2 linked regions of the Drosophila melanogaster genome follow. The protein of the gene in region 1 interacts with the protein of each later gene in a pairwise test. Each region holds a gene or a part of one and is shown in the gene's direction. Other genes may lie near its edges.

Region 1 (3,760 bases):
CCACAATGTGGGCCAAATTCTTAGCATTCACCTCGATGGTTGTATAACTTCATGTCTTGACGAAAAGGGCGAAGCTTTTCCTTTGATTGTGTGGCGATTTCGTTGGCCAATGGAGCATGAAATTACTGAGGGGTGTGCCGCCGGCAAAGGGGGGGGGGGGCTGTACTTGTGTGAACATGGAAAACGCTCACATAACCAGGCAAAAAATACACTCAGAAAAAGAAAATCTCACAAGCATCAATTCAGAACATGCTTTCCTGGATGAAACTGTTTAGAATGTAATTTTTAAATCCCCAGAGATTAGCTCTAGTGGTATTAATTATAAAATGGAAATCTACTAATAGTTATATCTCTTACCTAAAAGTAAAAAAAAGTGTTAAATTTCAACCATCTTACTTGTTCAAGTGCACCAAGGTTCGAATGTTACAATCTTCATACCACTTAAGACTGCGTCGCGTTCTGCTCGAGTGCAAAGGGGTAACGATTGAAGATTGAACTCAGGAGTTCAGGAGCAACTGAGGCAGTCGAAAGTCACACCAATTGCGATTGACTGGGATTCCGGAAGGTGTCCATCGGGCGTGACACTGGCGGTGAGTGAAACTACATGTGTGGGAAGCCCAAAGGAAATACATTGAACAACCAGAACAATTAACTAATAACACAAAGAGCAATCATATCAATGCGATACGCCAGTGAAACCGATTTCCACAGTCCACATTACTAATTGAAAATACTCGTGACGGAATCCGATAACCGATGGCATCCAAATGCTGGCCATAAAGGGTGAAATCGCTCGTTAGCCCTCCACATGACCGTTAAGTGTCTCTGCCCAGCCTGATTCCTGGAACCCAACCGCCATATGCTTATATGGCATGACTGTGGGCTGAGCGCCCCAGTGTCATCATTACCATGACTAGGATTACGATTACTGTCATCGTCGTGTCATCACAAACACACGCAGACTTAGCGAGCGTCTTTATGGCTTTTGGCGTTGAAATGATAAGTAAAGTTTTTGCAGAACGTAGCGAACATTTTCCGGACATGGGGCTTATGTCCATGCTGGAAACATATGGCATATTGCCAGGCGAAACATTTAATGGTCTGCAAAATGGCCCGGGCCGGGACATTAAAAGTTGCTTAACCTTCATTAGGCGCCCGATTCCGCATCCGAATCCGACTGACGGCGAGATGAAATTTAATATATGTCAGGTCCCGACATCGGAGGGCTTAATGCCCCATTTGTGCAGGGCGCCACTGCATCCAAATGATGGTGCCAGAAAAAAAAAGCAAATCACCGCAAGTTGGCATGGAGCTTTAATCAGCCCAGCAGGCAAAAGGGCTAGTGGTGGTGGACAGGAGGGGGTGGTATTAAAGGGGCGCAAGGACACTAGGCAAACTCAATTTCGAGCTTGTTTCACGGGACAACGACCACGCCCAACCCGACCCACCAGAGGCGCTAATGCGGCGACATGGCATTATCCTTCTTCCTTTCGCGACTTCTTTCCCGACTTTTCCGACCACGGCTGCACTCTCCTTGGGTATTTTGATAATCAAATTTGCGCAAACAAGCGAGTGGCGTGAATTTGCCAACGCCACCGGAACAAGGACGAAACAAGGACCAAGGATAATAACGGTTGCGCCTCGTGCACTTGTGCAATTAGATTGTCAAAAGTTCAGTAACTTTACCCAAACCGAAGCGCCTTAAATTCTCCATTGTTCTTCTTTAAATTACAGTTTCACTATTTTTGATTTTAGATGGTAATAAAAAAATCAAGTGTATCCTTAAGCTTCTACTTAACATAATTAGTTATTTAAGTTCGATTAAATGAAAAATCCGCAAACCACACACTTGATCTATATCTTGTGTTTGTAACTGGGAAGCTAAGGCAAAAAAAAAAACACTTATTCAATACCAAATCCTGGAATTGTAACAATAAAATGTATTTTCAAGAAGCCCATCAATCTTGCTGTCCCAACTCATTTGCCACTTGTGATGTAACATCGAGAGATAATCCATTTAAAATCGCTTTAATCCATGTGTTATCAATTTCATGGCATTTCATTTGCGAGCCTATAAAAGGCTCCTTTCCGATTCGCTGCTAAAAGTAGTTTCAGAATGCAGTTAGGATTCCTTTACGCATTCGTTGCGCTCTTGGCGATATTTCGAGTGGAACCCAGCGAGGGAATTATTGATATAAACAATCAATTGAACAATATTATAAGCCCCCCGATCCTTCCTGCGGTTGAGAGCATATTGGACATCAATGGCGATGCAGATTCAACAGAAGATGAGCAAAAGGTGCGCTTGCAAAGAGAATCCATTGTAAAAGATTACGGATTCGTGTTTAAACCTCAACCAATAGTCTTGGAAAGTAATTCAAGCTATAAGCCCTCAGTTGAATCTGAAGGACAGGCCCAATCGTTTAGCCGAGGGCTTGAAGAAGCGAAGCTTCAAATCCAAAAGCAATCTCAATCACAATCGCAGGCTCAAGGTCTAGGTCAATCACAGCAACAAATCCAATACGCGAATATAGCCAGAACTAAAGTCCAAAAACAATTCCAATCGCAACAACTAGGACTGGCTCAATCGCAGCAACAGACCCAGATTCAACAATCACTGAATCAAGATGGAGCTAAATTACGAGAAAAACCTTATCCGCATATTCAAACTTCATCACAAAGAAACGCCGATGATCCAGAAAGTGAAGAAGCTGAAGCACCAGGAGGACTGTCGGGAAAAATAGCTTTAGTACCACCAAATGAAGAGGGAGATCAAAAGCAAGACCAGGCTCAATCACAGATTGAAGATGAAGCTGAAGTTCTTAGACAAGGTCTGGCGCAAACGGAATCTCAAATTCAGAATCAAAGACAAGGACTGGAAAAGGAGATACAAGGGCAATCCCAATCGCAGGATCAAGCTCAATCCCAAGATGAGGCTATTAATCCAGAATCGGCAAACGCTGAAAATCGATCATCACAGCAATCGGGAGATGTAGCAGAGAATCAGGACCAAGCTGAATCACAGGCTCAAGAGCGGTCACAATTGCAGTTAGAGGGTCAAGAACAGTCCCAAGATCAAGCACAATCGCAAGATCAATCGCAGGCTCTGGAAAAAGGGGGTGCACCGCCTCTATCACCACAACAATCGCTAGTTCAAGCAGAGGATCAAGCACAAGAAGATCCCATAGACCAATCACTTCATCAAGCGCAATCTGAAGTACTAAACCAAGTTAAGTCGCAGACTAACGGTCAATTAAAGGCTCAAGCTCAAATGCAAGCTCAAGTTCTCGATCAGGCTCTGGAAGATGCGCATGTTCAATATCAATCTCAGGCTCAATCACAAGGAATATCACTGTCTCAAACGACGCAACAATCGCTGGTCGAACCAGACGATCAAGCAAAGGAAGACCCCGTAGATCAATCACTTCATCAAGCCCAAAGTGAAATAATAAAACAACTTCTGTCACAGACTAACGATCAAGACAAGGCTCAAGCTCAAGCGCAAGCTCAGACTCTCGATCAGGCTCTAGAAGAAGCTCATGTTCAATATCAATCTCAGACTCAAGCACAAGGAACTCCAATCTTTCAACCACCACAACTTCAACCAGAGGATCGAGATCAAGATACCGCTTTAGACCAATCTCCGACGCAAGCTCAATTGGATGCTCAATCCCAATCACAAGAACAAGCGAATACTAAGCTTCAGCGGAAATCTCAAGCCCAATCAGAAGCTCATGGTATAATTCTTACAACCTTGAGG
Region 2 (3,760 bases), on another chromosome or scaffold:
TGGAATTTTAAGGGAGTGTGCTTGTGTGCGTGCAAGCGACGCCTGCCGCTTCCTCTTCTTCGACTTGCAAAACAACAACGAGCGAAATTGAGCGTGAAAACAGAGGAAACGCGAGGATAGATATTGTATAAAAACATGCGTATTTAACAGCGGCTGACCTTGTTTTCATTTGCGCCTAACAAGCTACGGAAAGTGAAAGACTTTGATTGGAATTCTCATAAGAATGTGAAACAGGTTTCGCTCTCATAACGGTATCTGCATACACATACACACACACACACACAGATGAGCCGTAATAGCCAGGCAAAAACAAGAAAAAGCCGGAAAAAGAAAGTAAAAAGGCAGAAAATGTTTAGTTTATATTTCTAGAGCGAGAAAGAGAGAGAGAGAGATATGGGGACGTAGAGAGCGACTGTTAAGTAATACATTTGCAGAGAAAGCGCGCGCAAAAGACACAAGAAAAAAAAACACATTTGCATGTATTGTGTGCTACTTATTGATGGCGTTATTTTCTGGTGTTTTTCGCACAATTGCCGCAGTTTCTGAACGCTGCTTTTGACATTGGAAGAGTTCAAGCGGCTTTTTTTTTACGAATTCGATTTAAACTCATTTTCGATCTGCGAAGGTCAACAGCAAAACAAAATGAAGCCGACTGCACGCACACCAAGGCAATATTTACACAGATACATTCACCACAGTTGTATGTTGCTTGTGTTGCTCCTTAAATATGTTACATATTTAACATATATGATATGTTGTGACAATCAAATAGTACTTGCAATCTTTACCTTGGTTGAGCCGCTCGATTTTACAACTGTTATTTATCACACTTTATTTTCAGTTTAAAATGCACTTTTTCGCTTCCTTTTCACTTTTGATTGCTACTGACATCAACTTGACGTTCTGCTAGTGACTGTATGTTAGCTCCTAACAGCTTCGGCAATTTATCGATTAGTGCTGTTAACGCTACAGCTACCTAACAGAATTAAAGAAATATATTAAATTTAACAAAAATACTGAATACAGCTAGCTGGTCATACTCCTGTTTTACATTTTATTTAATTTACGAATACGTTTAATTTAAATTTTGTTGATATATAATTTAATAAATTTTTTGGTCTCAAAACGTCTTAGCTAACCCCACACAAAACCACTTCGAGATTATTCTGAGGTTCTACGAAAAAAAACTTGTTATATATACAGAGATATATGTATTTTAAAACCAAATAAAAATGAACCTGTATATAATAATACCATAAGATAGCTACTTACTCTACGAGCTGTGAGCCTTGAGTGCCGGTGCTCATATAACTTTCTTAAGCTTGCTTGATATAATTTTCATATTGCATATCTAAAAAAAAATAAAAAAATAATTATAAAATTTTTGTAAAAAGTTCAGTAAAAACAGTTTAATTCACTTATTACCTGGTATTTCCTTCTCTGCAAATATAAACGAATTTTAGATATTTTCAAATTTGTTTGAGTTGGTGTGTTCTGTTTATTATGAAAACATGGATACATTTTTAACAAGTGCTCAAAATATTATTTTATTTACTAAATATATCAATATATAAAATAAATTGTATTTTCTATTAGAAGACTAGTAATAAAAATGACAAAGTTATAATAATACCATTGGAAATAATTACCAAATTGCAATTTTTGAAATTGCAAAGTGTGACTGCACGAATACTTGTTGAATATCAACTGCATGAATTAAATTTCGCTTTCCGAATCAACGAAACATCAAATTTGGTCAAACATGAGCAAAACATGTCATATAATATTAACAATATATTCTTTAAGAAATTTAACAATTTTAAATAAATTATGAGTGACCCTGTGTTGTGTAAAATATGTGGTATTTATTCAGTATTTTTGGGTTTTTTTTTCTGTTTTTCGGCAGCACTGCGCGGCGGTCACGCCTTTGTATTGTATTTATATTCATTCGTTAAGCGACGGTCGTCCAAAAAGGCAGAAAATGTGGAAATTCATTGATGAACAGTGGTGAAAAGTGCGTGCAGTCATTCGCTTCAATTTGTCGTGGCCGATTCCTTTTCGCAACCAATTTTTCTTATTTTTTTTCTTGTCAGTAACAAGTTGTCGGTCAATAAAAGTGTCAGTTTATTTTCTGCATAATAACGGTTACTAAAGCCTAAATTTTTTGTTTGTGACTTCTTTTTTTTTAAACAAATGCGCCGACGCGCCAGAAGTTTATATTCTGTTTTTATGTTTTCCGCTTAAAACGAAACGTGACTAGTTTGTTTTAAATTGGTGTGCAACGAAAACAAGAAGAAGCGGATGAAGAGGGTGGAGAGGAGAGGAAGCAGAAGAAAAAGAGCAACAGTCAAGTGAATTAGTTTTTTTTTCGTCCATGCCGTCGCTGCCAACGTCGACGCCGTTGCGCCGCCGCATTTAGTCATTGCATCAGTGTGTCCGAGTGTGTGTGTGGCAGAGAGAGCGAGTGGGAGAGCAAGGGTGGAGTAAAAGTAAATGCGTGCAATTAGCATTTAATGCAATCACCATTAACCGCCTACTATTGTAATTTATATTACCCTAGTACCTGTAATTTACACATACACCTACACACACACCTGCTCAGCTAGTGGTAGTGCAAATATGAAGTGCAAAAAGCGGCGGCAACAACAATTGTCTGTTAATTGCTGGATATTTCGTAATGCAGCAACAATAACAACGGTAGCAAACTGTAATGCCACAGTGAAGACTCGCTAATCGAAACTTTGTCGGGCATATTAACCAAATTCGTTATATGTTTGCATTGAATTTACATTTCATATATTAACTTCTAAATCTCGTTAGATTTACATGCTCGCGTGTTCAATAGCAGGGAGGGCCCACTGTACTTGTAGTGAAGCGCCGTTACAGCCACAAATGCGTGTGAGTGTGATTATGTATGCATGTGTGTCTGCATCAAATCACACACTTGCAGCGCTCATGCACACGCACTTGTACTTGTGCGTGGCTCACATTTCCATAGCCAGCCGCTTCCCCCTCCACGATCAGTGTTGCTCTTCACCTGCAGCTTTCGCTTCTGCTTCTTCTTCTCCCGCACGCATGTGCCGTTACAAATTCGCTTGGACATAAATCATTTTTCGTGCATTAGCCGGCGATTGTTAATGGAAATCGTATTAGAAAACAACAATTACAATGGGCCCACATCTGCCGCTCTCGCTCTCGATCGCGCTCATCATTGCTCTCCCGTTTCCCGTTACAGAGAGTGCAATACAAGTGCAATATTAATTAAGTAATAGAGGAAACGTAATATGCGTGTGCAATACAAACAAATGACCATGTAACGGCCAACAGAAATGTATATGCAATACAAACGTACATACATGTGTAAAACAATAAGCGCAAAACACCGCCCATCCCCGCTTGAAAAGTAAAACCAGCAATCTGCGAAACCTTCGACCATCATTGGGTTTTACTGTACTTGAAAATGGACTGTGCCACGCGAAAACAACAACAATTACGGGCACATCATCAGCAGCAACAAATACAAATACAAACACATGGACGAAAGCGGCAGCAATTACAAAAACAACGCCACAACCACCACCACTACTACCAAAATTCACAACAACAACAAAAACATTTCGTGTGGCTTGTTGTTGGCATTTTGACAATTTTTTTGGCTCAGGTGAGTGAGAAAAAAAAATGAAGGAAAAGAAACAACAACAAAACATAGTGATAAAGATAAAGCGACAGGTAAACCCGCAAAGTTAGTTACCTCTATGAT

What was found. Proteins that work in one complex are often made in the same cells at the same time.
Region 2: the proteins of CG31872 (region 1) and Ptp4E interact in a two-hybrid assay, tested with the Drosophila melanogaster proteins (one large-scale study listed by BioGRID).

The regions. Positions count from the first base shown.
Region 1 is NT_033779.5:10,637,830-10,641,589, forward strand, and holds the start of CG31872 (uncharacterized protein), read left to right. Parts: upstream 1-2,101; 5' UTR 2,102-2,116; coding exon 2,117-3,760.
Region 2 is NC_004354.4:4,937,187-4,940,946, forward strand, and holds the start of Ptp4E (protein tyrosine phosphatase 4E), read left to right. Parts: upstream 1-1,941; 5' UTR 1,942-2,014; exon of another isoform or gene 2,015-2,118; intron 2,119-2,250; exon of another isoform or gene 2,251-2,346; intron 2,347-2,394; exon of another isoform or gene 2,395-2,489; intron 2,490-3,235; 5' UTR 3,236-3,460; coding exon 3,461-3,661; intron 3,662-3,760.